Callithrix jacchus: one gene and its partners. The protein of the gene in region 1 purifies or fractionates together with the protein of each later gene. This does not show direct contact. Links are inferred from orthologs where the notes say so. Each region holds a gene or a part of one and is shown in the gene's direction. Other genes may lie near its edges.

Region 1 (5,666 bases):
CACTTGCAACCATCTGATGTTTTTGCTTCTTTTTTTTTTTTTTTTTTTGACCCCTTTAGAATGTGAACTGCGTATCCTTGCGTTTAAAACAGGGCATGGCACACAGCAGAGTAGGCACCAAAAAAATTACTGCTTAAATGAATAAGTGATTATCTAGTGCCCCCTTTTCTCTATACCACTTATTGTAACTTCAAAGAATACTTTGGCTACCCATGTGCTGCTACTGCACTTATTTTTCTATTTAGAGATTCTTAGAAAATTCTAGAATTTCTAAAATTGAAATTTTAATTATATGTGGTTTTCAGTAATCTCTGACTTATTTCTGTAAATACAATGATCTTTTCTTCCTTTTTGGTTCGTGTTTTTTTATTCGAGGCAGAGTCTCACTAGGTTGCTCAAGGACTACAAGCACACTACCATGCCCAACTAAACAAATATATATTCACATAGAGATTTAGTGTTCATTATTTAATTTGCCCTATTAAAAAGAATTTAAATAATTCCTGTTTGAGAGAATTGCTCCTAAGCCTGGAAACACCTTTGCTGTGATACTTTAATCTTCAGAGGAACTCTCAATTATTTTTTATTTGAGTTATAGTGGTATCAAAGATTTATCCTTTGAAACAAAAAAGATTGAAATGCTTTATGTTTTCTGTATTCGAGCAGATCTACTGTCCCCATTTGTCTATTCTGTTGGTTTATCCTTTCTTTCTTAAATAACATTTTTTTAAAGATCTTGTTGCATACCATGCATTAAATAACTTTCTTTTGGCAAATACCTTCCCTTGCCACTCTGAACTATGAGTCTACCAAAGAGGGGGCAGCTAGTTTTCTAGCTGGGATTATGGAATTACAGGCATGAGCCACCGTGCCCATCCTGATGTCTTTATGTTTTATTTAATTTATTCTGCTTAATTCATTATATTTCTTCATTGCTAAAATTTAATCAGTAAGCATTCTTGCACTTTGGATCTGAGGTGGGTGCATCACTTGAGGTCAGGAGTTCGAGACCAGCCTGGATAACATGGTGAAACCTCATCTCTGCTAAAAGTACAAAAAATTAGCTGGGCATGTTGGCAGATGCCTGTGATCCCAGCTACTCAGGAGCTACACAGGACATTCGCTTGAACCTGGGAGGTAGACGCTGCAGTGAACCCAGATTGCGCCACTGCACTCCAGCCTAAGTGACAGAGCAAGACTCTGGCTGAAGAAAAGCATTCTGTTTTACAAGGGGTACCTATGTGTCTTTATCTTTTGCACCACTAATCTCTGAGTCTGAACCTCTGTCTCTTCTCATCTGCTCTGCTGCAGTGGCTTTCTTTGTGGAATCCCTGCCTCCAGTTTCTCTCCTGTAACATGTCCTGATGGTACTGCCACAGCCAGGCTTCTATAAAACACCCCTTTGACTGTATTATTAATCTGCTAAAGTACCTTCCATTCTACTCAAGCACTTTCCATGAGTCCCAGTTATCCAAAGGATAAAGTCTAAATTTCTTACCTTTTGGCCGGCTGTGGTGGCTCACACCTGTAATCCCAGCACTTTGGGAGGCCAAGGCAGGCAGATCACCTTAGGTCAGGAGTTTGAGACCAGTCTGACCAATACGGTAAAACCCCATCTCTACTAAAAATAAAAAAATTAGCCGGGCATGGTGGTGGTGGGCGCCTGTCCTAGCTGTTTGGGAGGCTGAGACAGGAGAATTACTTGAACCCAGGAGGCAGAGGTTGCAGTGAGCCAAGATCATTCCACTGCACTGTAGCCTGGGTGACAGAACAAGACTTTGTCTCAAAAAAAAAAAATTCTTAACCTTTTATGTAACATCCTCCGCCACCTAGACCCCAGCTTTCTAGCTTCCCCTCACATAATTCTTCTCTTGCTAAATTGTCCAGCTAAACCCATTACCTTATTATCCCTTACATGTCTTTCCTTTTTGTGTGTTGATGCTCTCTGCCTAATGTCCCCCTTGCTCTCACATATCCATACGATAGATTCATAAATGGTTACCCTACACCTTGCCTTTTCCCTGAGACTTCTCAGGCAATTCTAGCTCCAGATGATCACTTGAGCTCCTCTACATGAAGAGTACTTATTATCTCTAACCCTTAGTTGGTGGATGGTTCATTTTATATAGCACTATAGCATCACTTATTGTTATTCAATGTACATCATTACATTTAATGTTTTGGTGGGTTTAGACCACATCCCCCATATAAATGGTGACTTCCTCAAGGTAAAGATGTCTCTTATGCTTTTTTATATCCATTGTTACACGGAAGCAACTGAGATAGTTTAAATTTTTAAAAAATGCATTTTCAGACATTTAACTTCTAGATTTTTCTTACTATGCCCTGATGATAAATTAGGCACCTTTGAAAGTGGGAGCAATTTTTTTAGATGCCTTAAGGACCTACCTAAAAAATTTGATTTTCCAAAATGCAGTAGGTCCTAAATAGGGAACTAGAAAGGGAAACAAATCCACATGAGATTTTTATTATTTTAAAGTGGCTAACAAAAATTATAATTTACCCTAGAGAGGCAGCTCATTAAATTTATGTGCTGTTGGCTTCAATTTTTCAGCAACAGGAATAAACTTGTCATTCAGAAGTTTTGACTGGTTAATAACATCTTGGGAATTTCTGGGCTCTACAGAAATAAAAGGAATAAAACAAGGATGTTTAGTAGAAGATTTGGATCCACAACCCTTGAAGTGTAAAGAAACCATGGTTAGCTATTACCTTGTTGGAATAAAAACTAAAACATGAGAATAAGGGATAATTTGAGAATAAAGTATAATTCACTTAAATTTGGCCATAACTTTTATGTGATGTAGTTGAATTTTTTTTCACTTACTAAATTTTGTGCTTTTATTTCATAGATATTATGCCTTAGAGGTCTCATATTTCAAATCCTCTTTGGATCGAAAATTGCTCGAGCTGTTGTGGAATAAATACTGGGTGAATACATTGAGTTCCTCTAGCTTGCTTACTGTAAGTATTATACTTGCAAGGAATGCATTTGAATTTTATCTAAGCTACTTAGCCATTTAATATCTGAAACACTGTTTCACAGAAAGGCAGTACCTAACTTGGCCAAGACACCAAGGCTGAGGTGAGATTCTGCACCACCAGAGTGGGATTAGGATGCTAGGCCAATTCAAGATTTTTGTCATGACCCATAGAGACAAAGTCTAAGTAGCAAATAGAGTGGCCAGATCAGGGTGAGATCTGCTCCTGCCATAAGGAGATTTATGGATAAAAAATATACAAATATTGATTTTTGTGTATCAGGTGTCTCAGCTTGGAGTCTGGTTGCAAGTAACACGACACCTAATGAAATTAGCTTAAGAAAGAGAACTGCGTAAGTTGCAAAGTTGAGGAATAAGGCTTAACTTAGGCACAGCTAAGTTTTCATTCAAACAATATTATGAGATCTTGTGTTTTTTCTCTCTTAGCATTGATTTCATCTTAGTTACTGCTAGTTTCAGGCTTCATGTGAAAGCAAGACAGCAGCTTTAGCTTTAGACCTCCAGGCCTCTCAGTTTCATGTTCAAAGAAAGAGATGGTCAAGATACACACACACACACACACACACACACACACACACACACTCTCTCTCTCTCTCTCTCTCTCTCTCTCTCTCTCTCTCTCTCTCTCCCCCCCCCCCCCACCCTCTCTCTCTCTCCCAGTCAAAACTTCATTGTGTCTGACTGGCTTTACTTAATCACATGCCCATTTTTAGGACACACACACACACATACACACAGACACACACCCCCATGCAAAATTTCATTGTGTCTGACTGGCTTTACTTAATCACATGCCCATTTTAAGGCCAACTGAATAAGCCTGATGAATGGCTTTGGCCATGGCAAGTGCTTTACTGCTGGGCCACAGTGTAGAAAACTCCTTCAGTAGCTCAAGTACTAAAAACGGGGAAGGAGAGGTTCCCAAAGGGAATCAGAATAGCATTACCTTAAAGCAGTAGATGCTGGGAGGGAAAAAAAAAAAGAGGTCACTGAATTTTTTCTGATAATATAAAAACCCAAAATATTTGGAAGGATATTTAATCAGCTTCTCTATATATAGAACTTAGGAACAATTTTTTTACTTTTCTAAAAAAGCAGGCCATTTCATATACTGCAGTATATATAGTAGTTAGAACCATAGGATTTAGAATAAAATAAACTGGGCTTGGAGAATATGAGCTACAGCAGCAGGAGTCATAGTAGGACCATCACTTAGAAGTTTCTTACGCTCTTTGATCAAGTATTGGTTGAAAGGAGTACAGCTGAAGCTGGAACTAAAGAAGGCATTATGCTTCCAGAAAAATCTTAAGGTAAAGCATTGCAAGCAACAGTAGTAGCTGTTGGATCACGCTTTCAAGGAAAAGGTGGATTCAACCAGTTAATGTGAAAGTAAGAGATAAAGAATTATTCTCCCTGAATATGGAGGTACCAAAGCACCAAAGTAAAGAACTACTTTGCCATTCTTTAGGTTTATTCAGTTGACCTGGAAAGCCAAGGATTGTGTTTTCGTTTCGTTTTTTGAGACAGGGTCCCTGTCATACAGGCTGGAGTGTGGTGGTACAATCTTGGCTCACTGCAGCCTCAGCCTCCCAGGCTCAAGCAGTCCTCTCGCCTCAGCTTCCCAAGTAGCTGGGACTATAGGGGTGAGCCACCACACCCGGCTAATTTTTGTATTTTTTTTGTAGAGACAGGGCTTTGCCATGTTGCCCAAGCTGGCATTGAACTCCTGGGTTTCAGCAGTCTGCCCACATTGGCTTCCCAAAGTGCTAGCATTACAGGCTGTGAGCCACCATGCCCAGCCAGATTATTTAGAGATGCTGACATTCTTAGAAAGTATGTAGACTAAAGTAAATCACTAATGAAATGCCATCAACATGAAGCCGCTCATTGCACGTAAGTTCTGAAATACTTAATTATATAAATAATTTCCATGTCTCTCTTGTATAATAAGCAAATGATATCCTAAAAAATAAAATTGACTTTGAAAACAACTCTGCCACTTTACTAGTTCTGAGCGACTTTCAGAAAGTTATTTAATGTAACTAAGCATTTCTTTGTTGTAAAATGGTGATATACTACATACATCATTAAGTACTCTGAGAAAATTAAATGGGCTACTTTATATAAAGCAATTAGCAAAGTGTCTGGCATATGATAAAGCCTCATTAATTTTTTTTTATTTGGTGCATTATATGCATGGAAAAATACCTCACTTTAGCCTATTATTTAACTGTTCTTTTTTTAGGCTAGTCAAGTGAAGCAGTGTATTTTTTATTATTTTAAATAGAACTCTGACAAGCTCTCTGTTCTTTCTTTTTTTCTCTCTCTCTTTTTTTGAGACAGGGTCTCACTCTGTTGCCCAGGCTGAAGTGCAGTGGTATAATCATCTCTCACTATAGCCTGGACTTCCTGGACTCAGGTGATCCTCCTACCTCAGCCTCCTGAGTAACTGGGACAACAGACATGCACACAACCATGCCTGAGTAATTTTTTATATTTTTTTATAGAGACGGGGCTTTGCCATGTTGTCCAGGCTAGTCTAGAACTCCTGGGCACAAGCCATCTGTCCACCTCAGCCTCCCAAAGTGCTGGGATTACAAACATGAGCCACAGTGCCTAGCATCTTATTTCTTATCTTTAGTA
Region 2 (6,465 bases), on another chromosome or scaffold:
AGGGGAAGAGATGCATATTTTTTAATAGAATCCAAGAAAACAACTGAATAAGTCATAGATCCATTTTTATTTCCTTCATTTATTCCAGGGAGGCCAGAAAATATAGAAAATTTTATATGTCTTTTATTTTTTAGTTCCTTATTTCTAGCATTATTATAAGGAAAATAGGCCAGGCACAGTAGTGCTTTGGGAGGCCAAGGCAGAAGGATCACTTGGGGTGGCAGGATCCCTTGGGGCCAGGAGTTTGAGGTTAGCCTGGGCAAGGTAGCAAGGCCCTGTCTCTATGGAAAAAAAAAAAATGCATTTCCCCCCCCAAAATAAAAAGACAAACTTCCTTTCCAAAGTAATAATAATAATAAAGATAACACCTCTCTGTGAAGCAGTTAAATGACAGTGAGAAGCATGAATGTAACCAAACTGTGTTGCAAGGATATCACCTACAACTTACTTCTCTGTTTTTTTTTTTTGAGACGGAGTTTCGCTGTTACCCAGGCTGGAGTGCAATGGCACGATCCCAGCTCACCGGAACCACCGCCTCCTGGGTTCAGGCAATTCTCCTGCCTCAGCCTCCTGAGTAGCTGGGACTACAGGCGCGCGCCACCATGTCCAGCTAATTTTTTTGTATTTTTAGTAGAGACGGGGTTTCACCATGTTGACCAGGATGGTCTCGATCTGTTGACTTCGTGATCCACCCTCCTCGGCCTCCCAAAGTGCTGGGATTACAGGCTTGAGCCATGGCGCCCGGCCTCTTCCGTTTTTTTTTTTAACCGTTTCCTCTTCCTAACATAACATGGTAGGATGTATCTTCTTTAAATAGGGGAAATGTACTTTTTAAATAAGATATTATTTAACAACCTGTCATTCAGGAAGAAAGCTGAAGCTTGTAATAATAATAAAAAATCCAAATACATATTCTCTCCAAGTTAAGAACTGTTTATCATAGGTGGTTCTCAAATGTTGGTTTGGGGGAAGTTTTCAAGGTTTTCTGTTTTTGTTTTGTAAGTTAAGAGTGAACACCCTCTGCATCCTCCCAATCCTGCTCTCTCTTTTCCTACCCAAAGATAACCCTAACAATATATTTCTCCCCCACCCTCTTCCTGAGATCAATTCATAAGCAACACAAAAAGCCCTTCCTATTATTATTTGGGGTGGGCCTTCTAATTACAATGTTCAGTGAGCGAACATAGGAAACAAGTGGTTTGTCTTTTCCGAGACGAAGTCTTGCTCTGTCGCCCATGGTGGAGTACAGTGGCACGATCTCGGCTCACTGCAACCTCTGCCTCCCGGATTTAAGCAATTCTCCTGCCTCAGCCTCCCGAGTAGCTGGGATCACAGGCACCTGCCACCACGTCCGGCTAATTTTTGTATTTTTAGTAGAGACAGGGTTTCACCACGTTGGCCAGGCTGGTCTCTTAATTGCTGACCTCATGATCCGCCCGCTTCGGCCTCCCAGAGTGCTAGGGTTCCTTGGCCAAACTGCACGTGTGCTCTCTCTTAATAGTTCTCAGATGATGGGGGCAGGGTAGGTGGAGAAAGGGGGTGACAAGAAAAGCTACCTCTGCAGACAACCATGAGCCAATTTTGTCAGACCTGCGCCAGGATAACATTCCGTAATAGATAGTTCAGCCAGACTTAAGTAGAAAAGCAATGGCTCGTGGAAAACATGGTTTAAAACCAGAAGCCTGATGTAACTTTATTTGGGCTGCGCTTTCATCTTTCTTTAAATAACTTAGGGACCGAATAACGGGCCCCACCAGCAAATGCAAGCTCCCCTGCCTCCCAACCCGATTCTTCTGAGAACCTGCTGCCATCTGCGTGGAACTCCTGTAAGATGGCTCCTACGCGACGACCCTGCCAGAGAATCAGCTATACGTGCCACAAGCATGTCCACAGATCGCCTGCGTGCCTCAGCCCACTGACACTCGATGGGGCGAAAGGGTGACCTCGCATTTGATGCCTTTTGTCTCCCTGAACCAGACTCCCTCTCCTTCCCTTTCCTCCTACGCTCATTGCCTTTTCCTTAGCCCCTGTAACGCAGCGTGGGAGAGAAAACAAACTTGATTTCTTCTTCCGGGGATACCCCGGAGCATCGCTGCAGACCTGGGCAGGCGGCGGAGCCGGCGCGCCCCAGGCGTGCGGAGAAGTTGCGAGGACGCGCGCCGTCCGCCTCCCGCTTCCCCCGGCGCGCGTCCCTTAACCTCTCCGGCTTCCCAGAGGCCGGATGCAGCCAACGGGTCAGGCTGGCGGCTGGGGTCCCGCGGGCGGAAGTGAGAAGGGCGGCGGGGGAGGAGGCTGCGGGCTGAGGGCTAGGATTCCCTTCCCGCCTGGCGCCGCTCGGGAGAGCCAGCGTGAAGACGCCCGGCGCGCTGCGCCCGCCCTTTTTTGGCGCTGAGAGAAAGAAGGGCAGGGCCGCCGCCTCGCGGGAGTGGGCCCCGGGAGGAGGGGCCGCCGGAGAGGCCGGGCGAGCGCGGGTTGCCCTCACCTCGCTGCTCCTCCCGGGCCGCCATCCCTCGGCGCCCCACCCGGAACCGGCGCGCGCGTGGGGGCGGGGAGGCCAGCGCGCAGATCTGGCGGTGAGCGCCGCCGCCTCGGGGCTCCCAGCCATGTCGGCCGAGGAGATGGTGCAGATCCGCCTGGAGGACCGCTGCTATCCGGTGAGCAAGAGGAAACTTATCGAGCAGAGCGACTACTTCCGCGCCCTCTACCGCTCCGGCATGCGCGAGGCCCTGAGCCAGGAAGCAGGCGGCCCGGAGGTGCAGCAGCTGCGCGGCCTCAGCGCGCCAGGCCTGCGTCTGGTCCTGGACTTCATCAACGCCGGTGGGGCCCGCGAAGGCTGGCTTCTGGACCCGCGAGGGGAGAAGGGCGGCGGGGTGGACGAGGACGAGGAGATGGACGAGGTGAGCCTGCTGTCCGAGCTGGTGGAGGCGGCCTCCTTCCTGCAGGTCACGTCCCTGCTGCAGCTGCTGCTGTCCCAGGTGCGGCTTAACAACTGCCTGGAGATGTACCGCCTGGCGCAGGTGTACGGGCTGCCCGACCTGCAGGAGGCCTGCCTGCGCTTCATGGTCGTCCACTTCCACGAGGTGCTGTGCAAGCCCCAGTTCCACCTTCTGGGATCTCCTCCCCAAGCCCCAGGGGATGTCAGCCTGAAGCAGAGGCTGAGGGAGGCCCGGATGACTGGGACTCCTGTCCTCGTGGCCCTTGGTGACTTCCTGGGGGGACCCCTGGCCCCTCACCCCTACCAGGGGGAGCCCCCGTCCATGCTCAGGTACGAGGAGATGACTGAGCGTTGGTTCCCGCTGGCCAACAACCTTCCTCCCGACCTGGTCAATGTCAGGGGCTATGGGTCCGCCATCCTGGACAACTACCTCTTCATAGTGGGCGGGTACAGGATCACCAGCCAGGAGATCTCCGCTGCGCACTCCTACAACCCCAGCACCAACGAATGGCTCCAGGTGGCCTCCATGAACCAGAAGAGGTAAGCACCCCGGCAGAGTGCTGATGCCTTCTCATTCATTCACTTGTTCATTAGTTCATTGCCCCCGTGTTTACTGAGCCAGTAAATAGGGGAGGGTGTGCTGAGGTGGAAATGACATCTTCAGGAATGTTGTTGGCCTTAGTCCTGGCAAAATTCCCGGTGAACTAAGAAATTGCAAAGAGGAAGTCCCCAGTGAGGTCAAGTAGCTGAGTGGTTTTTTGGCAGGTATTGTGCCTTTAAGTGAAACTGCTTTCTGTGGCTCTGTCCTTGTGAAAAAAGATGTTGTGGTTTCCTACAAGAATTACTTTAAAAGAAAGTTACTCCTTAATTGAAAAGAAGTTTTGTCTTAGTTTTTAGGGTGTGAGCCTGATGATAATGATACATTGGACAGTAACCTGTAACACTGACTTCGGGTTTTGTTTTGTTTTTCTGTTGTCAGTGACTATGACAACAGAGCCTTCCACACTGTGACATCCAGCCATGATCAAGAGATAATTACGGGAAATGTGTTTATATTTGCAGTAGGGGTTGCTTTTCTTATTTTATCCTCTCTTTTGCTTCCTTCCCTGGACAGCCATCATCACTGACCCAAAGCTCGAGGCTGGAAGTGTTCAACTTCAGAATTGGAACATTTTCATTAATCCAATCTTCTCCCTCTCCCATCCTGCGAATCCTTCCTGCCACCAACTTGGGTGGCTTGAAGAAAGGAAGAGGAGGAGCTTGGGGAGTGGGATGAGAGGGGAGAAGGGAAAGGAACCAGGGAAAGAATATGAAAACAAGAGCAAAGAGCATATACAGGAAGAGATGGTAGGAAATAAAGATGGTAGCACCCAGGAGGCCTCAGAGTCATTCGGAAGCGGGGAAAAGAATCCATGTATCTCAAGAAAGGATGAAAATACCCTTTCTTACCATCCACCTGTTTCCACCTCAGTCCTCACAGGATCCTGGTCCTGAAGTGTGGAGCAAGGAGTTGGGGAACTCATAGCTAGGCAAAGAAAGTCTTAACAGTAACAGTGAAGCCATTATATATCTATTGGACTTGAGGGTCCTCCTACGCCAGGGATCATTTGGGGAAATAACTGGCTTGCTTTCTCCTATAATATGAAATTCATTTTGAAAAGTATGCTTTTTTTTTTTGCCTGATAATATATAGTTGCAGAAAACTAGAAAATGAAAAACAATGAAGAAGCAAAAAGATGAATATTCCTACTCGCTCCTCCTAGAGGCAGTAACTGCAGGTTGACGTATTTCCTGCCAGCCCATTTTTAATGCATTATTTACGCCGTTGAGATGATGCCATGTTTAAAATTTGGTATCAGGAGGGTTATTTTAAAACAAATTCTATGCGCTGTAATTTAAACAACAAAGGAACATTGTGTGGCTATAGGCGGTGGTCTGAGTAAGGGTGGACAGTCCTGAGTTCTCTGTCTCCTTTTGCACTTGCCTCCAGCTGCATATCATTTGGTGCTCACCAGGCCATCCTTAGTGTCACAGTACCTCACATTTCTTCTTCCCTTCATACATCCTTGGTAGTCTTTGTCTTTTTTTCTGGGAAGGCCCTTTTCATCCCCTTAAAAAAAAAGCATTCAAGTAATGCATGAATGCATGCTTCTCAGAAAAACTGCAAATTACACCAAAAAAGTGTAGAGTAAATGTCTGCTCTCAGGGTACAGAAAGAAAAAAAAAAAAAAGACTGTTATCAACAGACTTTTGTTACCTTTAGATACTATAAATGTATAAACATTTATATTTGTAAATTATATATATACTTAATATAAATACAGTTAACCCTTAAACAATGTGGGGGCTAGGGACACCAGCCCTGCATAGTACAAAATCCCTATATAACTTTTAACTCTCCCAAAACTCAACTACTAAATAGCCTGTTGACCAGACGCCTTACCAATAACTTAATTAACATGTTTTGTATATGTATTATATACTTCATTCTAACAATAGAGTATGTTATAGAAAATAAAATGTTATTTAAAACTCTAAGGAAGAGAAAATTAAGTAGAAGTGGATCATCCTCATCCTCTTCATGTTACATAGGCTGAGGAGGAGAAGGAGGTAGAAGAGGGGTTGGTTTTGCCGTCTTGGGTGGCAGAGGCAGAAGACAATCTGAATATGGGTGGACCCTCTCAGTTCAAACCTGTGTTGTGAAAGGGCCAGCTGTATAAGTATGTTGATAGTGGTTAGCAATAGGGGAAAAGTATTTATGTATATTAATGTGCATGGGGGTATGCATATTAACTTACACGTTTTTTAAATTCTAAAATTGACTAGGTTGTACTAACTATTATGGCACTTGATATTTCCACTTAACCATATCTGAGAATTGTTTTCTGTGTCAACAAATGTAGATCTACCTCACTCTTTAATGACTGTATGGCATTCCAGCCTAGGGATGTACCATAATGTGGTCAGCCTTTCCCTTATTTATGAACATTTAGGTCACTTCCATTTGCATTAGCTGTTTCAATAACCATTGCCATATTGAACATCCTGGTAGATGCATTGTGTATCTTAGTAGGCATATGTGGGTTGGTTTCATATGTCCAATTTGTGGAATCCCTGGATAAGTAGGGCAAAGTGTATGCATGTCTCAAGTTTTGTTGAAGCTGGGTGCAGTGGTTCATGCCTGTAGTCCCAGCTACTTGGGAGGCTTAGGCAGGAGGATCACTTGAGCCCAGGAGCTGAAGGCTGCAGTGCACTGTGATCAGGCACGTGAATAGCCATTGCACTCTAGCCTGAGCAACACAGTGAGACCCCATCTCTATAAACAGTTAAAAATCAATAGATTTTGGTAGCTCCTGCCAAATTGCCCATCAAGAAAATTGTTCTGTCCCTCTTCCATCAACAGTATTTGTGTTTGCCAGTACCATATACTCTTGCCAAGGTAGAATATTATCATCTTTTTTTCCCCAAACCTAATGGACAAAAACACTAGTGTGATTTTTCCCAATTAGAAGAGAGATTATTCTTTTTAT
Region 3 (6,342 bases), on another chromosome or scaffold:
AGACAATTTTAAGTTTTAAAAGACTATTTTCATAATATTAAAACATTTGCTATTTTCACTCATTCCTTCACGAGTGTACAATGGAGTTTTCCAGAGGCTACGTGATGTAATTTTGCAACAGACTGAATTCAGAAGCAAACAAGAGAATCTACCTGTCTTAAGACAGAAGGAACTATAAACTGTCCTCTTTCCCTACTTTACATCAGCCACAAAGAAAGAATGTCTACTCAGAATGGCAATCGGGTTTCATTCAGTAGCCAGAGAATGGAGAAGGGGAGCTAACCCTCTAAAGGCACCTTTTTCCAGAAGGATGGGAGGCGGGGGAGTTGAAAGAGTTGGCCTAGCGGGGGGCGAGGGGGGCGGTGGTATGAAGGGCATGCGCAGGCTGGAGTTGCAGACAAGCAGGCCCAGTCCCTGAACATGCTGCTAAGATGCCAGTGATCTTCCTTCAGGGGAGAGGATTTCAGCATTATAATGTTAATGATCCAAAGGTAACTGGAGGTTGCCTGTTTATCTTCTGGTATTTGGCAAGGGGTCAGGAAGCTTTGGTGATAACTAGGCCACCTGGCTTCCTTAAGTAGCTGTGCCTATAGACTTAAAAAAAACTGGCTGGGCTTGGTGGCTCATACCTGGAATCCCAACGCTTTGGGAGGTGGAGGCAGAGGGATATTTTGAGGCCAGGAGTTAGAGACCAGCCTGGGCAACAGAGAGAACTTTCTCTATGTCTACCAAAAAAAAAAAAAAAAAAAAAAAGCCACAGCTGTTCAAGAGGCTTATACCAGTGACAGTGTCACCCTATTTACCAGTTGCGGGGGGAAGGAAGATTTGGGAAATAGTTGAATTCCACAAAAATATTTTGTTAAGGGGTAACATGTTTTTTAAAAGTATTAAGATGATTTAATTTTTTTAATATGGTAAATATTGATAATCGTAACACAAAACTATTTGGTCGTGTGGATATTTTAGGCGTAAAGGGTCCTGAGGCAATAATGAGAACCGCTAATTTAGACCAAGTTTCTACTCAAGTTCTGGCGATCAAATCAGGGCTCCCTTAGGAAGGAATTGGAGGGAGAAATGGATGTTCGGTGGGGACGCACCCGTGTCTGCTGTGCTTCCATATCTTCTGTGGTTCTCAGTTTGAGCATGCATTAGAATCGCTATAAAGTTTGTTAAAACATAGATTGCTGGACCTCACCCCCAGTGTCTGATTCAGGAGGTCGGGGTTAAGGACTGGGAACGTGCCAAAACTTAATAGTTCCCAGGTGAATCAGATGTTACTGGCGGGGAACTGGTGCACAGCTTGGGGCGTGCTTCACTGCAATTATCTTACTTAACTTCCTTAGAATGGCAGGTGCTATTTATGCCATTTTACTCATTCAAAACTTTAAACCTGAAGATGACAACGAGTTAATTAAGTTTACAAGGAATAAAGGCAGTGATTTTCACACACTAAGACAATTTTTTAAAAGCAAACGCTGTCAGTTCAAAAATTGAGTTTATGCTATTTAAACAGGCTTTGGGGTAAGTACTACCTAGTCCCTGCAAGGAATCTGTGAATTAGAGAAAGATGTAGGCTCAGAAATATGGCGGTGCCGGGGAAGTGAGAGGCACAGAGAAAGAATTTATCTTCACTGCAGGAAGCCTCCTAGAAAGTTGCCCAGCACCGTGGCTCATTCATGCCTGTAATTGCAACATCTTGGGAGGCGCAGGCGGGAGGATCGCTTGAGCCCTGGAGTTTGAGACCACCCTGGTAAGCACAGCGAAACCCGTCTCTACAAAAAATACAAAAATTAGCTGGGCATGGTGGCGGGAGTCTGTAGTCCAAGTTACGAGGGAGACTGAGCCAGGAGGCTCGCTTGAGCCTGGGAGGTAGAAGCTACAGTGAGCAGAGGCCGCGCCACTCCACTCCCGCCTTGCCACAGCGAGACCCAATCTTAATGAAAAAAAAAAAAAAAAATTTCGGGCGTATTATGGGACGGATAACTTCAACTTCAGAGCAAGGGCTCCAGGACCTGCACCGGAAACACGGTGGCCAGGGGTCGCACCCGCGTTGCCACTCCCACCTTCTCCGTCAGGCGGAAGTGGTGCGGGCGCCTGCTCAGTGCGCGCCGGCCGGGCAATCGTGTGCCGGCGAAACTGGGTCCCTCCGAGCCGCCGTAGGACTGGTTCCGGCGGGCTGGTGAGGAATGGAGCCGGTGGGTGGCTGCGGCGACAGCTGCGGCTCCTCCTCGGTAGACCCACGGAGCACCTTCGTGTTGAGTAACCTGGCGGAGGTGGTGGAGCGTGTGCTCACCTTCCTACCCGCCAAGGCATTGCTGCGGGTGGCCTGGTGAGGAGGGGAGGCGGGAAGCTTGCATCGGGACACGCTGTGGGCATATCCCAGGCTGGCGGGGTGGGGAGAGACCCTGGGGACCCAGGACCACCCCCGGCTCCTTCGCCCTAACTGAGGTGACCTCCACCCGCGAGGTATCTTCCAGCTGTAGAGCCCCCGGGACTTCCCTGAGGAGTGAAGTTCCCCTTAAGGTTTTCTCCACAACTGACCAGCGCCCTGATACCTACTTCCCCCGGGGGCTTCGGTTCCCGCAGAGATCTCTTGCTGCTGCGCCTGCAGGTGGGGGTTTGTGAGCCGTGGGAGAGACGAAAATGAACGTCCATTCGCGATCTTTTGTGCGTTTGCGTCCCCAGCGTGTGCCGCTTATGGAGAGAGTGTGTGCGCCGAGTGTTGCGGACCCATCGGAGCTTGACCTGGATCTCCGCAGGCCTGGCGGATGCCGGCCACCTGGAGAGGCATTGCTTGGTTCGCGTGGTAGCCGAGGAGCTTGAGGCAAGTAGCAAGGGGTGTCATGCACAGTCAATTGCAGGTTGGTGGTTCAGTCTTTGAGAACTATTTTTTTTTTTAATCCCAGTTTTGTTAATTCAAGGAACATCTCGTGCCGTGAAAAAAATTTGTGAACATTAGTTTTAGTGACTACACTGTAAGAATGTGTCATGATTTATTTGACCGTTCATCAAATGTTGTGCCTTATAATCCACATTTTCCATTGTTTCCGTTGTTTCCATTAACAACAACGATGTGCAGAACCTTATCTCCACCTGCTTCCCTTGAAGCAAGTTTTTGTTGTGTCTGTTTTACTGGGAAGGCAACTGGGTGTGTTTTGCTCAGTGTAGCACACCTAGAAAGCCAAGAACCAAAACTTAAAGCCAAATATTTCAACTCCCGATCCTGTACTCTTTGGCTTCTCTGGCCCCCAACTTCAAAAGGGGAGCCAATACCTGGAGAGGTAAAGACTCGGACTGTGGAGTCAGAGGGGCTGCAGGGTGTACCATCTCTCTGAGGAGTGGGAGGGCGCCATTTGACAGTGAAGTGCCAATCTGATGCTCTGTCATTCTTTTTAGTTTCCTGCGGCTTACAAACATAGCCACGGTGCAGCCGTCATAATCAGGAAATTATCACTGATAGACTTCGTCTGTTTTATCCTCAGACTCGGTTCAGGTTTTGCCAGTTGTCTCAGTAAGGTTCTTCATGGCAAAAAAGGTCTGTTCTCAATTGCAAGTTGCTCTAAATAAGTCATGTTTCTTTAATCTCCTTTGATCTGGAACAGTTTCTCAAGCTTTGCTTGATTTTTCCCAAGCCTGACACTTAGGAAAATTACAGGCTATTTTGTAGAACATCCATCAGTTGGCAGTGTGTGAGGTTTCTTACTAGGTTGTGTTTCTTACTAGGTTTGGCAGGAAATAATCACAGAAGTCATGCTGTGCTCTTTTCACGGCATCCTTTAGGTGGCATGTGATTTCCATTTGTCTCTTTATTGGTGATACAACCTTTGATTACTCGATTAAGGTTGTACCGGCCAAGTCTCTTCACTAAAATCACTTCTGTAATGATTAAGTGTTTTTTGAAGAGATAATTTGAAACTATGTAAGTGTCGTGTTTCCTATTCGTTTATTTATATCTGTACACACTCTCCAAGTCTTATTTCAGTGGGATATAATCTGTTACTGTGAGTATTTATTTTAGTGTTCAGTTTACCCCGGACCCCCAACGCCAGTTTGGCTAGGGGGAGCTCCTTCAGGCTGACCTCATTGTCTTTAGAGATGACTCCTTTATCTTTGACCACTTGTCTGGCACAAGGTGTTCTAAGCTTGTCTTGGGTTTTACCTGCTTGGGTCCTGGCATTGGCCATTTGTCCATGAAACCCTGGCTCCTTTTGATAGAGTGTGATATTTAGCAATCAAGATCTAGATTCTCTAAATGTACTCCTTGCCATTGAAGGATTTGCTGCTCCAAAGCTCAGTCATTAGAGCCAAGGAATATATGTATATACATGCATATGTGTGTATATAATCAGCATATATGTATACACATGTGTACAACTATATTTCTGTGTGGAAACTCATGAGTTCACACAGGTGCAACCTTTCGAATCAAACGCAGGATGCTTTCTAGTTTTGTCTCTGCTCGTATCTGTATCTCCCTTTGGGCAATGGGAAACCTGGTTCTCATCATTCTTAATGTATTTAGGTATTACATCAATGCCCCATACGTAACCAATCTTCTGTTTCCCCCTTCCTTGGGTGGTCTTTCTCCTTACCCTGTTTGGGCTCTGGAACTCTCATCCCAGGGAGCTGGCCAGTATCCAAAGGCAGGCTTGTTAGAAAACTTTTCTTCTCTGGCACTTTGTCCCAACTCTTGCCATCTCTTTCCAGAAGTTTATCATTTGGAAAAATTAAAAGTACAGGCAGACTTTTCCTCAAAAATATTCTCTGGAGCATCATTTATAATAAGAGATACTAAAAAGCTAATGTTAATGTAATGACGTTATTAAATTATAAACTGCAAGTACATTCATGACGAGAAAATGTTGATTTTAAAAGTGAAAAGACTGGGAAATTACATATTTAGTATCATCTGCATTGTTAAAGACAAAAAAGAGAGTAGAAAAGAAAGCCAGAATGTTAGCTTTTGTTTCTATTTAATGTTTTAAAAACTTTTCTCTCCGTTGTCATCGTTTTCAGATTTTTACCCCAGCAGGCATTATTTTCCTGTAGGTTTAAGAGTTTATACATTGTAGTGGCTGTATAGCCGGACAGACTTAGCTGTGAACCCTAGCTTTGGTGTACAGTGGGATGACTTTGAAAACGCTACTTAACCTCTCTGAGCCTCGGGTGCCATCTCCATAAAATGAAAAGAAAAATAATAATTTTCCTGTGCTCTTATAGAGTTGTTGTAAGGATTCAATAATGAAAATGTAATGCATATGACACATTACCTATAGTACAGGGAGTATAAGTGCTCAATAGAGGTCTATTAAATACTTTTATTAGTATCATTATTAAACTTCACAGAGTTCAGTAATGCCCTTAGAGGAGTGCTGCATTGTAGTAAACTGCTGGTGAGACAAACACACGAAAACTCTGCTTAAATCACACTTACTGATTGTGTTTTCCAAGTTATCTAGTGGACAATGGGTACGTTTATAGCCATAAAGAAAGTTGATTTAACTTTTCTATTAAAAATATTTTAAGTCCACTGGGCACAGTGACTCACACCTGAAATCGCAACACTTTGGAAAGCTGAGGCAGGCAGATCACTTGAAGTCAGGAGTTTGAGACCAGCCTGGCCAACATGGTGAAACCCTGTCTCCACTAAAAATATTAATATAAATATTTAAAATATTAAAATATTGAAAAAATATTAAATATATAAATAAAAATATTAAACTACAAAAATATGGGTGTGGTGGTGCAAGTCCACCAAAAGCTTTATAAAACAGCTTGCCATTTGTAACTTCTTTGAACAGTGAAATGTGGTGCTAGCTTTCTTACACTGTGCTTTGAGAACATTTCATATTGAGGCTTGTTATGTCACTGCTTCTAGTGTGAATTAGGAAGGAAAATTCAGCAATTGCTTTTCAGTGGCTGCTAGAAAGGGAAACTCATAAAATCTCAGGACCAGACTTTTAATCAGGAATAGGAAACCTGAGGCCTAAAAGTTTGATGCGGGTTATTTTCCCAGTTTGTGGCCACTGTGACCTAAGACCTAAATCTGGGTGTGTGTGTGTATGTGTTTTGAGACTTTCTCACTCTGTTGCCCAGGCTGGAGTGTGGTGGCCCAATCTCACTGCAACCTCCACCTCCCAGGTTCAAGTGATTTTTCTGCCTCAGCCTCCTGAGTAGCTGGGACTACAGGCATGTGCCACCACACTTGATTAATTTTTGTATTTTTAGTAGAGATGGGGTTTCACCATGTTGGCCAGGCTGGTCTCAAACTCCTGACCTCAGGTGATCTGCTGACCTCAGCTTTCCAAAGTGCTGGTATTAACAGGCATGAGCCACTGGACC
Region 4 (6,265 bases), on another chromosome or scaffold:
AAATGATTCAGAGCAACAGACAGAAGGAGAATGTTCTCCCCTTGAGGGAAGTAACTGGATCTTGCTATCACTGTATACCTACCCCACCCCCTCCCCAGTTCAGTGCCTGGCTCACAGTAGGCTTTCAGTTACCCTCTGCAGATCACTGAAAGCTAGGTGAGTGCCCGGAGCGAAGAAAAGTTGGCAGGTTTCCCACTGATACCAGCTGCTGTTGGTTTCTGAACACTCAAAGCCGCAAATACCTTAGGGCTGGGGGCAATGAACCCAAGGCTGAATTCCAAGTTCAGAAGCAGTGAAGTCCGAATTTAGAACCTAAGAACTTTAAACTGCTGCAGGTCCAACTTCAAGCCCCAGTTCTAGACAGAGGCCTGGGAAAGAGCTGACTTCTAACCCTGTTCCCCCCTCCTCCTCCCCCTGATGCTTCTCACAGGAAAGTACACCTGGTCCTGCCAAATCGCACTCTTATATCCTGGCATTCCGTTTAGACTTCTGTGAGGATGGAAACTGCGAGGCAGGGGAGGGAAGCGGGCTGTTTGGCCACCACCTCCCTAGTCCTGTAGGCGACCCTGTCACACTAACTCCTGGCAGCCCAGGGAGGTATACTGCATCGGCCCCACCGGCAGATGAGGGACATGAAGCTCAGAGAAGTTCCATGATTTCCTCGTTCCGCACTGTGGCAGCCTGGCCACGAAAGAACCAGGATTCCCGACTTCAAGATTCTTTCCACCACACACTTTCGTCCCTAAGGAGTGGGGGCGGGGGGGGTGGTGGGGAGATAAAATAACAACCGCGGAAAAGGAACCACTTACATGTGTCTAGCGCTTCCTAGAGGCTACCCAGGATATGGGCCCACAACCCGGCCCGGAGTGCAGAGATTTGAAGTCCAGGTTCTATCCCGGGCTCCGAGTTCTACTGCGTGACTTTATGCGAGCGTCCGCCGCCTTCTGGGCTTGTTTTCCCGGAAGCAACACGGCGCAGATGGAGTGTGTGTGTGTGTGTGTGTGTGTGTGCGCGCGCGCGCCTGTGTGTTGAGCGTGCTGTGTTAAGCGTGTGCGTGTTGTCCGGGGGCGGGAGGGGGAGTATACTAACACCGGGCTTCCCCAAGTTTCGGATTGCCTACATGCTTGTTCCCATCTGGACCCTGTTACCCACTAATTGCTCTCACTATAAAAACTGCCCCTCCAAGGCAAAGCTATGAACCCCCGCGTCCCCGGAGGATGAAGAGAGGTGCAACGGAGACTCAGCTGAGCGTTCAGTTTCGGGCAATACAAATTTCTCGGCTTCTATGAGCAGCCAGACGACCCCGCGGACCATCGCTCCTGAACTAGACCAAGACAAAGTTCCGAGCGTTCTCAACTTGGGGGGCCGACTCTCGCGAGACCGCCCCCAAACTTAAGCGCCCTTAGGCTCGCCCCCAACTGGGACTTCACAGAGCCACCTTAAGGGCGGTGCTCCCGCCCCCGGAAGTGCGCGGGGGGGGCCACAGACTTGGATTCTCAGCCTCCTGCCCCGCGCGGTGGCAGACGCCGGCGGATGACTTCGAGCCCCACAAGTGGAGAAACCCCAACCACCCCTCGCCCGCACCCTTGGCCCCCAACAACTGGCCGGGTTCCCTGGCCTCCCGCGTCCCCTTATCCCCTGCATCTCTGCATCCCTGTCCGGAGCCGTGAACTTGAGCGCCCCCCCCCACCCCAGAGACGTTGCGAGCGTCCGCCCGCTCGCGGCAGCCACCGTCACTAGACAGTCAAACCCCAAGACGTCAGCCCACAATGCACCGGGCGGGCCAGCAAAAACGGCCGGGGGAGGAGACCAGGGAAGAGAGGGCCGAGAGGCGTGCGGCAGGGGGAGGGGAGGAGAAAGAAGGGACCGACTGTAGGAGGGCAACGGAGCATTACCTCATCCCGTGAGCCTCCGCGGGCCTAGAGAAGAATCTTCTAGGGTGGAGTCTCCATGGCGACGGGCGGGCCCGCCCCCCTGAGAGCGACGCGAGCCAATGGGAAAGCCTTGGGGTGACATCATGGGCTATTTTTAGGGGTTGACTGGTAGCAGATAAGTGTTGAGCTCGGGCTGGATAAGGGCTCAGAGTTGCACTGAGTGTGGCTGAAGCAGCAAGGCGGGAGTGGAGGTGCGCGGTCTCAGGCAGACAGACAGACACAGCCAGACAGCCAGGACTGCAGTAGAGTCCGAGCTGCAAATCTTTTCTTTTCCATCTTCTCTCCAACTGCCCAGAGCTAGCGCCTGTGGCTCCGGGGCTGGTGTTTCGAGGAGTGCGGGGAGAGCCTGGTCTCCAGCCGCCCCCGGGAGAAGAACCCCGCTGCCCAAGCGCTGCTGACAGCGGCGGAGAGCAGCGGTACCCACGCGCCCGCCGGGGGACGTCGGCGAGCGGCTGCAGCGGCAAAGAACTTTCCCGGCTGGGAGGACCCGGGCCAAGTGGCCCAGAGTCCCGGAGCGAACTTTTGCAAGCCTTTCCTGCGCCTTAGGCTGCTCGACGGCGGTAAAGACCAAAAGGCGTTGGAGAGACGCGCGAGAGAAGGACGTGCGCTCAGCTTCGCTCGCACTGGTTGCTGAACTTGGGCGAGCGCAAGCCGCGGCTGCCGGGCGCCCCCTCCCCCTCGCAGCGGAGGAGGGGACAAGTCGTCGGAGTCCGGGCGGCCGAGACCCGCCGCCGGCTGGCCACTGCGGGGTCCGCACTGATCCGCGCCTCTGGGAGAACCGCCGCTCCTGGAAGTGAGTTCGCCCGCGGGCTCCGAGGAACCGCTGCGACCGAAGATCGCTCAGTGAGTGACCGCGACTTTTCAAAGCCGGGCAGCGCGCGCGAGCCAACAAGTAAGAGTGCGGGAGGCATCTTAATTAACCCTGCGCTCCCAGGAGCGAGTTGGTGAGTAGGGCGCAGCGGGGACGACTGCCAGCAGGCGCGCACGCTCTTAGAGAAACTTTCCCCGCCAAAGGCCCGGGGGGACGCGGGTGTACCCCGCTTGCCAGAGCGCTGTTGCGGCCCCGAAACTTCTGCGCGCAGCCCAAACTAACCTCACGTGAAGTGACGGACTGTTCTATGACTGCAAAGATGGAAACGACCTTCTATGACGATGCCCTCAACGCCTCGTTCCTCCAGTCCGAGAGCGGAGCTTATGGCTACAGTAACCCCAAGATCCTGAAACAGAGTATGACCCTGAACCTGGCCGACCCAGTGGGGAGCCTGAAGCCGCACCTTCGCGCCAAGAACTCGGACCTCCTCACCTCGCCCGACGTGGGGCTGCTCAAGCTGGCGTCTCCCGAGCTGGAGCGCCTCATCATCCAGTCCAGCAATGGGCACATTACCACCACGCCGACCCCCACCCAGTTCTTGTGCCCCAAGAACGTGACAGACGAGCAGGAGGGCTTCGCCGAGGGTTTCGTGCGCGCCCTGGCCGAGCTGCACAGCCAGAACACACATCCCAGCGTCACGTCGGCGGCGCAGCCGGTCAGCGGGGCGGGCATGGTGGCTCCCGCGGTGGCCTCGGTGGCGGGGGGCAGTGGCAGCGGCGGCTTCAGCGCCAGCCTGCACAGCGAGCCGCCGGTCTACGCCAACCTCAGCAACTTCAACCCCGGAGCGCTGAGCAGCGGCGGCGGGGCGCCCTCCTACGGCGCGGCCGGCCTGGCCTTTCCCGCGCAACCCCAGCAGCAGCAGCAGCCGCCGCAGCCGCCCCACCACTTGCCCCAGCAGATGCCGGTGCAGCACCCGCGACTGCAGGCCCTGAAGGAGGAGCCTCAGACAGTGCCCGAGATGCCCGGCGAGACGCCGCCCCTGTCCCCCATCGACATGGAGTCCCAGGAGCGGATCAAGGCAGAGAGGAAGCGCATGAGGAACCGCATCGCTGCCTCCAAGTGCCGAAAAAGGAAGCTGGAGAGAATCGCCCGGCTGGAGGAAAAAGTGAAAACCTTGAAAGCTCAGAACTCGGAGCTGGCGTCCACGGCCAACATGCTCAGGGAACAGGTGGCACAGCTTAAACAGAAAGTCATGAACCACGTTAACAGTGGGTGCCAACTCATGCTAACGCAGCAGTTGCAAACGTTTTGAAGAGAGACTGTCGGGGACTGAGGGGCAACGGAGAAAAAAATAACAGAGACAGACTTGAGAACTTGACAAGTTGCAGCGGAGAGGAAAAAGAAGTGTCCGAGAACTAAAGCCAAGGGTATCCAAGTTGGACTGGGTTGCGTCCTGACGGCGCCCCCAGTGTGCACGAGTGGGAAGGACTTGGCGCGCACTCCCTTGGCGTGGAGCCAGGGAGCGGCCGTCTGCGGGCTGCCCGGCTTTGCGGATGGGCTGTCCCCGCGCGAACGGAACGTTAGACTTTTCGTTAACATTGACCAAGAACTGCATGGACCTAACATTCGATCTCATTCAGTATTAAAGGGGGGAGGGGGAGGGGGTTACAAACTGCAATAGAGACTGTAGATTGCTTCTGTAGTACTCCTTAAGAACACAAAGCGTGGGGGGGAGGGTTGGGGAGGGGCGGCTGGAGGGAGGTTTGTGAGAGCGAGGCTGAGCCTGCAGATGAACTCTTTCTGGCCTGCCTTCGTTAACTGTGTATGTACATATATATTTTTTTTAATTTGATGAAAGCTGATTACTGTCAATAAACAGCTTCATGCCTTTGTAAGTTATTTCTTGTTTGTTTGTTTGGGTGTCCTGCCCAGTGTTGTTTGTAAATAAGAGATTTGGAGCACTCTGAGTTTACCATTTGTAATAAAGTATATAATTTTTTTATGTTTTGTTTCTGAAAATTCCAGAAAGGATATTTAAGAAAATGCAATAAACTATTGAAAAGTACTCCCCTAACCTCTTTTCTGCATCATCTATAGATACTAGCTATCTAAGTGGAGTTGAAAGTTAAGAATGTCAATTAAAATCTCTCTCAGTGCTTCTTACTATCAAGCAGTAAAAACTGTTCTCTATTAGACTTTAGAAATAAATGTACCTGATGCTATGGTCAGGTTATATACTCTTCCCCCAGCTGTCTATATGGAATTGCTTACCAAAGGATGGTTCGATGTTTCAGGAGGCTGGAAGAACGGGTTGGGGGGTTGCAGTGAAGAGGGACGGCCCACTGGGAACTCAAACATTTCAAAGTTTGAGATTGTATCAAGTGGCATGTGCTGTGACCATTTATAATGTTAGTAGAAATTTAACAATAGATGCTTATTCTCAAAGCCAGAATAGGTGGCAGATTTTACAAAAAATGTATCCTTCCAATTTGGAATCTTCTCTTTGACAATTCCTAGATAAAAAAGATGGCCTTTGCTTATGAATATTTATAACAGCATTCTTGTCACAATAAATGTATTCAAATACCAATAACGATCTTGAATTGCTTCCCTTTACTACTTTTTTCTTCCCAAGTTACATACTGAAGCATTTCTTTTCAGTTGCTGAGGTTAACATTGCTGCAATCTGAAGTGTGACTCGTAAGTTAAGAAGCAAAATATTTAGGGAAAGTCAAACTAGAAGTGGTGATCTGGATGAAACAGTTTCCCAATTTCATTAATCCCCCTGCCCTTTCTCCATCTCTGTCTCTCTCTCTACTACCACCCCTCACCCCCAAATAAACACCTATGTCTAAGGAAACTAGCAGTTTAGCATTTTAGATCTGTCTATAGTTTATTTCTTAATTTGTTTCTAAAATAACCTTGTTTAAATAATTAGAGAATCAGTCTCAAAAGACAGTAATCCAATACTATGGTAAAGATTCGCAAGAGAAAACATGAACACCAACACAATGATTACATGTGTAAATCAAACCCCAGCTCTGGGAAACGAGAAACTTAAATTCTGTCTACAGATATAACTTAGGAGATCAACGAGGCAGTGCTCAACAAGGGAGCAATTTTTTGCTTGGTTGCTTTTCATCCCAAGAGCCAGTGTGATTATCAGGCAGCAAAAGCAATGTGATATCCAGGAATATTTCACAAACCACTAATTGAGGCAGGGCTGTTTGCTCATTAGCAGTGTTCTGGTATCTAACAGGTCTGGGAGTGCTAATATCCTGCCTGTGGCTGTAAATCCAAATACACAAAGAGTTTCTCCTTAGGAGTATATCTAGGAGTGGAAGAGATTGGACAGGCTTGCTAGCTTCAAATGTGCTCTCCCTTGTAATAACACTTCTTGAACAAAGGGTTACTGGGAGCAGAGCCTAGTTTGCCAAACTGAATTTGCCGATGTCAGCAACCAGGAAGGTGAGATGATTTTGACCATATGTAGAAATAGCAGAGGGACAATAAAGCACTT
Region 5 (6,279 bases), on another chromosome or scaffold:
AGTAAGGTATAAATTACGGCAGTGAGGCCTACCCTAATCTTCCTGTCCCTTCTCTCCCAGTCTTCAATAAATTGAGAGCATTGAAAGTGGAAAAAATAAAGAGGATGAAACCTCCTGCTTGATCCTAGGTGAATTCTTTTCTGTCACTTAGGTAGAAGTCCTGACTTTAAAACTAAGTTTAGGCACGCCTCCTTTACTGCTCTCTGGGTATCACCCCTGTTTTTCTAGAGTCTGTATTTTAGTTGAATTAGTGGATGGTGATACCAAAGGACTGTGACAGCTGCATTTAAATATCAGCGACCACAGGTCGCATCAAGGAAACATCTGCAGGCAACCCAGGGCCTGGGAAGGAGCCATTTTGAGTCACTTGTAAGACAGCAGGACCTGCAGACTACAGCACAATCAAACCCAGACGAAACCCTGAACCAGTGAGGACCATCAGGAAGGAAAGGCACAGAAAATGAACCAACCCGAGTGGTAGGAGACCTGCAGCTAGTCCTGTATCCGTTACCAACCGAATGCATGTCCCTGGACAGGAAACCTCTCTGAGTCTCAGTTTCCTCCGTGGTAAAAACGAGAGGGTTAAACCACAGGGTCCCGAAGGTCCCTTCCAGCTGTCACATTCTGGAGTGTATGAGATGAGGTAGGCACACAAAGTGGACAAACAAGATGTGGCTAAGAAAACGAGCCACACATGAAGTTCATCTGTAGCATAGGTGCATAAGAAAATTAGGCTGCCGTGTGATACTAGAACGGAAGGTTGGTTTCCAGCAAAATGTATTAACTTTGGCCCAAACCGAGATGATGGGTACGGGGCATGGGGGTGGGGAGAGCAGCTGAAGATCCACTGAGCTTTGTCTCAGGGCAGCCCTGCTCGTCGTCCTACTTTACCTTCCACCACGGTGCTCAAGCCCACAATGAGAGAAATTTCCAGCTGCAAAAGGGAGCAGAGAAACGCTGGAATATCGGACATTAGGACATGGTTTGGTGGCTTTAAGAATCATTTCATCATCTGGAGTTTGGCCCCGAGGGGAGTATTTTCACCCTTCAGCCCTCTGAAAGCATTCACTAGCATCTGAATATTGTTCTGAGTTTGTTGGAGCAGTGAAATCTGGTGAGAGAGAAGGGTGGAGGAAGGAAGGAGCTGTTGTATTTGGCGGCTGGACCCAGGTAGAGGAAACTGCTACAATCCCGGGAAAGAACTGAAAAGTAGAGAGAGACAGTTCCCACACGCAGCCGACGTCCATGGCCTTAACTCTGCTTGGGAAGCAAGAGCCTGGGCCAGGGGTGTAACCTCGGTTTTCAAAACTGAATGTGTCTGGGACAGCTACAGCGTTTATTAATGGACTTGAGAGACTACTCGAGTTTTTTTTTTTTTTAAATCTTGAGTTCCTTTCTTAATTTTCATGGAGAGAGAGCTTGAGTTTATGGTAAGTGCCGCGTCTACTCCTGGCTAATTTCTAAAAGAAAGACCTTCGCCTTGGCTTCTTCCCTAGGCCTGCTACCTCCCCAGGGATGGCAGAAACTTCTGGATTAAGGCTGAGCGAACTACCACCCACCCCCAGCTAAGGCAAACCGGCCGGGGCGGTGCCCAGCCCCTCCAGCAAACGCTCCACGGCCTCCCCCACAGGCCGCGAGGTGGGGGCCACTGGGGAAGGTTGAGCTGGGGGCAGCTCGCCACTTCGGCTCTAAGCGAGCTGCTGGTGACCTTCGAGGTCCTCTGGTCTAGGCCCCCGGCTTCCCGGGCAAGGAGCGGGAGGTCGGGACTTAGGCGCCGCGCCGGGCCCCGAACCCCAGGCCCCGCCCCAGCTTCCCGGCCGTTTGGCTAGTTTGTTTGTCTTAATTTTAATTTCTCCGAGGCCAGCCAGAGCAGGTTTGTTGGCAGCAGTACACCTCCAGCAGTCACGCGACCAGCCAATGTCCCGGCGGCGCTCGGGGAGGCGGCGCGCTCGGGAACGCGGGGAGGAGGCGGAACGGCGCCGGGGCCACCTTAAGCCTGCGCTAGCCAGCCTCGGCGGGGCGGCTCCCGGCGCCGCAACCAATGGATCTCCTCCTCTGTTTAAATAGACTAGCCGTGTCAATCATTTTCTTCTTCGTCAGCCTCCCTTCCACCGCCATATTGGGCCACTAAAAAAGGGGGCTCGTCTTTTCGGGGTGTTTTTCGCCCCCTCCCCTGTCCCCGCTTGCTCACGGCTCCGCGACTCCGACGCCGGCAAGGTTTGGAGAGCGGCTGGGTTCGCGGGACCCGCGGGCTTGCACCGCCCGGACTCGGACGGGCTTTGCCACCCCCTCCGCTTGCCTGGTCCCCTCCCCGCCCCTCCCCGCCCTCCCACTCGCCAGTCCACTTGATCAGCGGAGACTCGGCGGCTGGGCAGGGGCTTCTCCGCAGCCCCATCCCGCAGACCCTGCGCGCTCCTGTAGCTCGGGCCGTGGCTCGTCCGGGTCCGTGTCTTTTGGCTCCGAGGGCAGTCGCTGGGCTCCCGAGTGTGGTTCGGGCTGCGTAGGGGCGTTTTGTTTTGTTTCGTGTTTTTGAGAGTGCGAGAGAGGCGGCCGTACAGACCCGGGGGGAAGATGTCAAACGTGCGAATGTCTAACGGGAGCCCCAGCCTGGAGCGGATGGACGCCAGGCAGGCGGAGCACCCCAAGCCCTCGGCCTGCAGGAACCTCTTCGGCCCGGTGGACCACGAAGAGTTAACCCGGGACTTGGAGAAGCACTGCAGAGACATGGAAGAGGCGAGCCAGCTCAAGTGGAATTTCGATTTTCAGAATCACAAGCCCCTGGAGGGCAAGTACGAGTGGCAAGAGGTGGAGAAGGGCAGCTTGCCCGAGTTCTACTACAGACCCCCGCGCCCCCCCAAAGGCGCCTGCAAGGTGCCGGCTCAGGAGAGCCAGGATGTCAGCGGGAGCCGCCCGGCGGCGCCTTTAATTGGGGCTCCGGCTAACTCTGAGGACACGCACTTGGTAGACCCAAAGACTGATCCGTCCGACAGCCAGACGGGGTTAGCGGAGCAGTGCGCAGGAATAAGGAAGCGACCTGCAGCTGACGGTAATGGCCCCTTCCCAACCGTAGATTGTTTGTGTCTGGGGGCCCGCTTTGCCTGCTGGAGGGTGTTAATCTCAGCTTGTTTTCCGGCGTATTCTGATTTAATTTTGGAAGGGCTAACTTTTTTGGTCTTAGGTTTCCAGTGCTACCTGACCCACTGCTTGTCTGTTTGTAACTTTTAAGTCAGAAACTGGAGATGGTAAGATCCGATAATTTCCCTAATTTAGGACGTCGCAGTCCCTCCCACTAGCCAGCCTTAGGTATGTGACAAAGTTGGGATGTTTATCAATGGTCCGCCTCCTGGCTAGCGAGAGCGCTCTGGGGCGGAGAATGCACTTTCTGTTTTTTGAAAACAACCTCATTTTGTGCCCTTAAAGGCCATTTGGGATGACGGATACAGGATTGTGGGTGGAGGTGGTGGGTTTTTCATCCCCTAAATATCGGGCCAACTTCTGCATCCATTGTTTTTTCTAACAAAGATTGTGTGTTCTTTTTAAAAATTTCCCCCACTCTTAGATTCTTCTACTCAAAACAAAAGAGCCAACAGAACAGAAGAAAATGTTTCAGACGGTTCCCCGAATGCCGGTTCTGTGGAGCAGACGCCCAAGAAGCCTGGCCTCAGAAGACGTCAGACGTAAACAGTTCGGTGGGTTTGATCAGCAAAGGAGCACGCACTGAAACCCAGGGCCTTCAGAACCCACGACACCTGATCTTACTGTTTGCTGGCAGATTAAAAGCCTGTGGGGTTTTGTTTTGTTTATACTTCGTGAGGTCAAAAAAGTAGCGATTGGGAAGGCTGGGAATCACTGTGGGGATACTGTAATTCTTCAAAGTTTCTTTGCCCGAAGATACTTTCTCTTGAAATAGTAGACCAGAGCAGCTACTGTAACCAAGGCCCCGTCGGGTAGGAAGGGCATTTTTCTGTGAGTCCTACTGAGACATATAACAATAAGTTCTTTCCCCATCTGAACAAGAATTGGGGTACTCCCTCAGTCCCACTTCATGAGAGTTAATTTCCCAGAGGTTCAGTTTGAGTCTGTAACATTTTTGAGCCATACATGGAAAAATGGCAAATACATAATTAAGTTTAAATTTTGAGGGGAATATGTGGTAGAAATTGCTCACCTTTGGTGATGCAAGGGATTGGAGATGTGAATAGGGTGTTGTTATGTTGTGTTCTGTCTTTGACATTTTCATAAACGGTCACTTTCCCTGTTCTAGAGAGTTTGTAGAGAGAAGGAATCAGTATTTACAAAAAGCAAAATGGAAAGATAAAAAAATTACTAAAGTTTCTCAATTTCTGGGAACACTCAAGTTGCAAAGCAGAAGTTAGATTAACTCTGTCAGTAAGCAATCCGTGAACAGGTCAGCCAGTGTATGCTAATTGTGCTGTAATAGGGTGATTTGATATTTGTAGGGGAAATGGGTAGTAAATATCAAGACTGGTGACCGTGGGTCAACCCAGCACAAAGGAAGTGGAGATTTTTCCGTACTCAATCTGATCACCGTTAATAGCTAATTTGAATAATTCAGCCCCCAAATGTACATGGATTAGCTAGTCATAATTATCGAATTAACATACATATTAAGTTTTTTAGTGTCTTATAGACCAAGATTGTGACCTCTTTCTTTTTTAAAGCACATACATAGCTTAGCATATGAGGCGATCTTGATAAATATTGTTAACTTATTAAATCCTCATTTATAAAAATTTTAACAGGGATTAAGGTGGGATTCAGGTTTGTTGTGTCTTTAAATTGTGTATTCGACTTCACTATACCTTGTATTTTTCAGAGCTTATACAGAACGGTACTATAGAGCCTGTTTCATAGTACCATATGAAGTGAGAAAATTAGGTGAAAATTTTCCCGAAGCAGCCTTGACACTCGCAACTCCTGTTGGTTTGTGACTTGTAACCTAGCTCATCAGATGAGCCATGAGAATCAAACCTGGATTTTGATCTGGCCCCATTCTGACACGCAGAGAGGCATTTGTTAGTAATATTGCCAGTTCAAAGAATACTAGAAATATTAGTAAGAACTTACTCAGAAGGATTCATGAATAAATTCTGTGTATGAATAAAAAAATATTTTGAAAATGATGTTAATAAAATTTTCTTCTGGAAGACCTTTGTAATTTTTATTCCTAATCATTTTTCAAATTTAGAAAATTTAATATGTCACAGTAGAGAAAAAAATTTTTTTAATTTAAAGAAAATTTAATTTTTTAAATAAATTTATGAATAAAAAATTTGTAAATTTTTACCCTTAATTATTACAGTTTCCTAATTTTCCTGTTTCTTTCCCACTTGTCTGTGACCTAGATTTTTTAGATAGGGTTTCTCAACCTCTGCACTACTGACATTTTGGGCCGAGTAATTCTTTGTTGTAGGAAACTGCCCTGTGTGTTTTAGATTGTTTGGCAGTATCTCTGGCCTTTCCCACTAGATGCCAGCAGCATCTTCTCCCCCAGTGTGACAACCTAAAATGTCTCCAGACATTGCCAAATGTTCCCTGGGGGGCAAGGGCAACACTGCCCACTGTTAAGAACCACTGCTCTAGACAAAAGTACACAGCATCGGAGAGGGAAAAAAATCCAGTTAAGAGAATATTAGGTGGAGATGAGTAGTCATCAGACTTAGAGTACATACGTTTTTCCCCATCAAGTTTATTTCCACACTAACGTAATGACAAAATAATTCCTGTAAACGTTACTCTAGTGGTTTTCCTCTAATTCTGTCTTGTTTTCTTTTGCAGAATTAAGAATATGTTTCCTTGTTTATCAGATACATCACTGCTTGATGAAGCAAGGAAGACAGACGTGAAAATTTTTAAAGTACATATCGCTGACTTCATGGAATGGACATCCTGTATAAGCACTGAGAAGCAACAACACAATAACACTAAAATTTTAGGCACTCTTAAATGATCTGCCTCTAAAAGCATTGGATGTAGCATTATGCAATTAGGTTTTTCCTTATTTGCTTCATTGTACTACCTGTGTATATAGTTTTTACCTTTTATGTAGCACATAAACTTTGGGGAAGGGAGGGTGGGGTGGGGCTGAGGAACTCACATTGGAGGGGGGGTATGAAGAGCTTGCTTTGATTTACAGCAAGTAGATAAATATTTGACTTGCATGAAGAGAAGCAATTTTGGGGAAGGGTTTGAATCGTTTCCTTTAAAGATGTAATGTCCCTTTCAGAGATGGCTGATACTTCATTTAAAAAACTGCCA

What was found.
Region 2: the proteins of COPS5 (region 1) and KLHL42 purify together in Homo sapiens (affinity purification with mass spectrometry; 3 studies listed by BioGRID and IntAct, with this or other methods). This does not show direct contact. The link is inferred for Callithrix jacchus from reciprocal best matches to the Homo sapiens genes COPS5 and KLHL42.
Region 3: the proteins of COPS5 (region 1) and FBXO22 purify together in Homo sapiens (affinity purification with mass spectrometry; 3 studies listed by BioGRID and IntAct, with this or other methods). This does not show direct contact. The link is inferred for Callithrix jacchus from reciprocal best matches to the Homo sapiens genes COPS5 and FBXO22.
Region 4: the proteins of COPS5 (region 1) and JUN purify together in Homo sapiens (affinity purification with western blotting; 3 studies listed by BioGRID and IntAct, with this or other methods). This does not show direct contact. The link is inferred for Callithrix jacchus from reciprocal best matches to the Homo sapiens genes COPS5 and JUN.
Region 5: the proteins of COPS5 (region 1) and CDKN1B purify together in Homo sapiens (affinity purification with western blotting; 11 studies listed by BioGRID and IntAct, with this or other methods). This does not show direct contact. The link is inferred for Callithrix jacchus from reciprocal best matches to the Homo sapiens genes COPS5 and CDKN1B.

Annotation. Positions count from the first base shown.
Region 1 is NC_133517.1:22,929,745-22,935,410, reverse strand, and holds part of COPS5 (COP9 signalosome complex subunit 5), read left to right. Parts: intron 1-2,873; coding exon 2,874-2,985; intron 2,986-5,666. UniProt on the Homo sapiens protein: Probable protease subunit of the COP9 signalosome complex (CSN), a complex involved in various cellular and developmental processes.
Region 2 is NC_133510.1:43,439,420-43,445,884, reverse strand, and holds the start of KLHL42 (kelch-like protein 42), read left to right. Parts: upstream 1-2,281; 5' UTR 2,282-2,603; coding exon 2,604-3,475; intron 3,476-6,465. UniProt on the Homo sapiens protein: Substrate-specific adapter of a BCR (BTB-CUL3-RBX1) E3 ubiquitin-protein ligase complex required for mitotic progression and cytokinesis. The BCR(KLHL42) E3 ubiquitin ligase complex mediates the ubiquitination and subsequent degradation of KATNA1.
Region 3 is NC_133509.1:25,093,151-25,099,492, reverse strand, and holds the start of FBXO22 (F-box only protein 22), read left to right. Parts: upstream 1-2,158; 5' UTR 2,159-2,186; coding exon 2,187-2,329; intron 2,330-2,685; coding exon 2,686-2,824; intron 2,825-6,342. UniProt on the Homo sapiens protein: Substrate-recognition component of the SCF (SKP1-CUL1-F-box protein)-type E3 ubiquitin ligase complex that is implicated in the control of various cellular processes such as cell cycle control, transcriptional regulation, DNA damage repair, and apoptosis.
Region 4 is NC_133508.1:95,862,565-95,868,829, reverse strand, and holds JUN (transcription factor Jun), read left to right. Parts: upstream 1-2,081; 5' UTR 2,082-3,052; coding exon 3,053-4,057; 3' UTR 4,058-5,335; downstream 5,336-6,265. Other genes in the region: uncharacterized protein LOC128928178, read right to left, coding at 810-811. UniProt on the Homo sapiens protein: Transcription factor that recognizes and binds to the AP-1 consensus motif 5'-TGA[GC]TCA-3'.
Region 5 is NC_133510.1:10,587,879-10,594,157, reverse strand, and holds the start of CDKN1B (cyclin-dependent kinase inhibitor 1B), read left to right. Parts: upstream 1-2,095; 5' UTR 2,096-2,571; coding exon 2,572-3,046; intron 3,047-3,559; coding exon 3,560-3,681; 3' UTR 3,682-3,689; intron 3,690-5,799; 3' UTR 5,800-6,279. UniProt on the Homo sapiens protein: Important regulator of cell cycle progression. Inhibits the kinase activity of CDK2 bound to cyclin A, but has little inhibitory activity on CDK2 bound to SPDYA. Involved in G1 arrest. Potent inhibitor of cyclin E- and cyclin A-CDK2 complexes.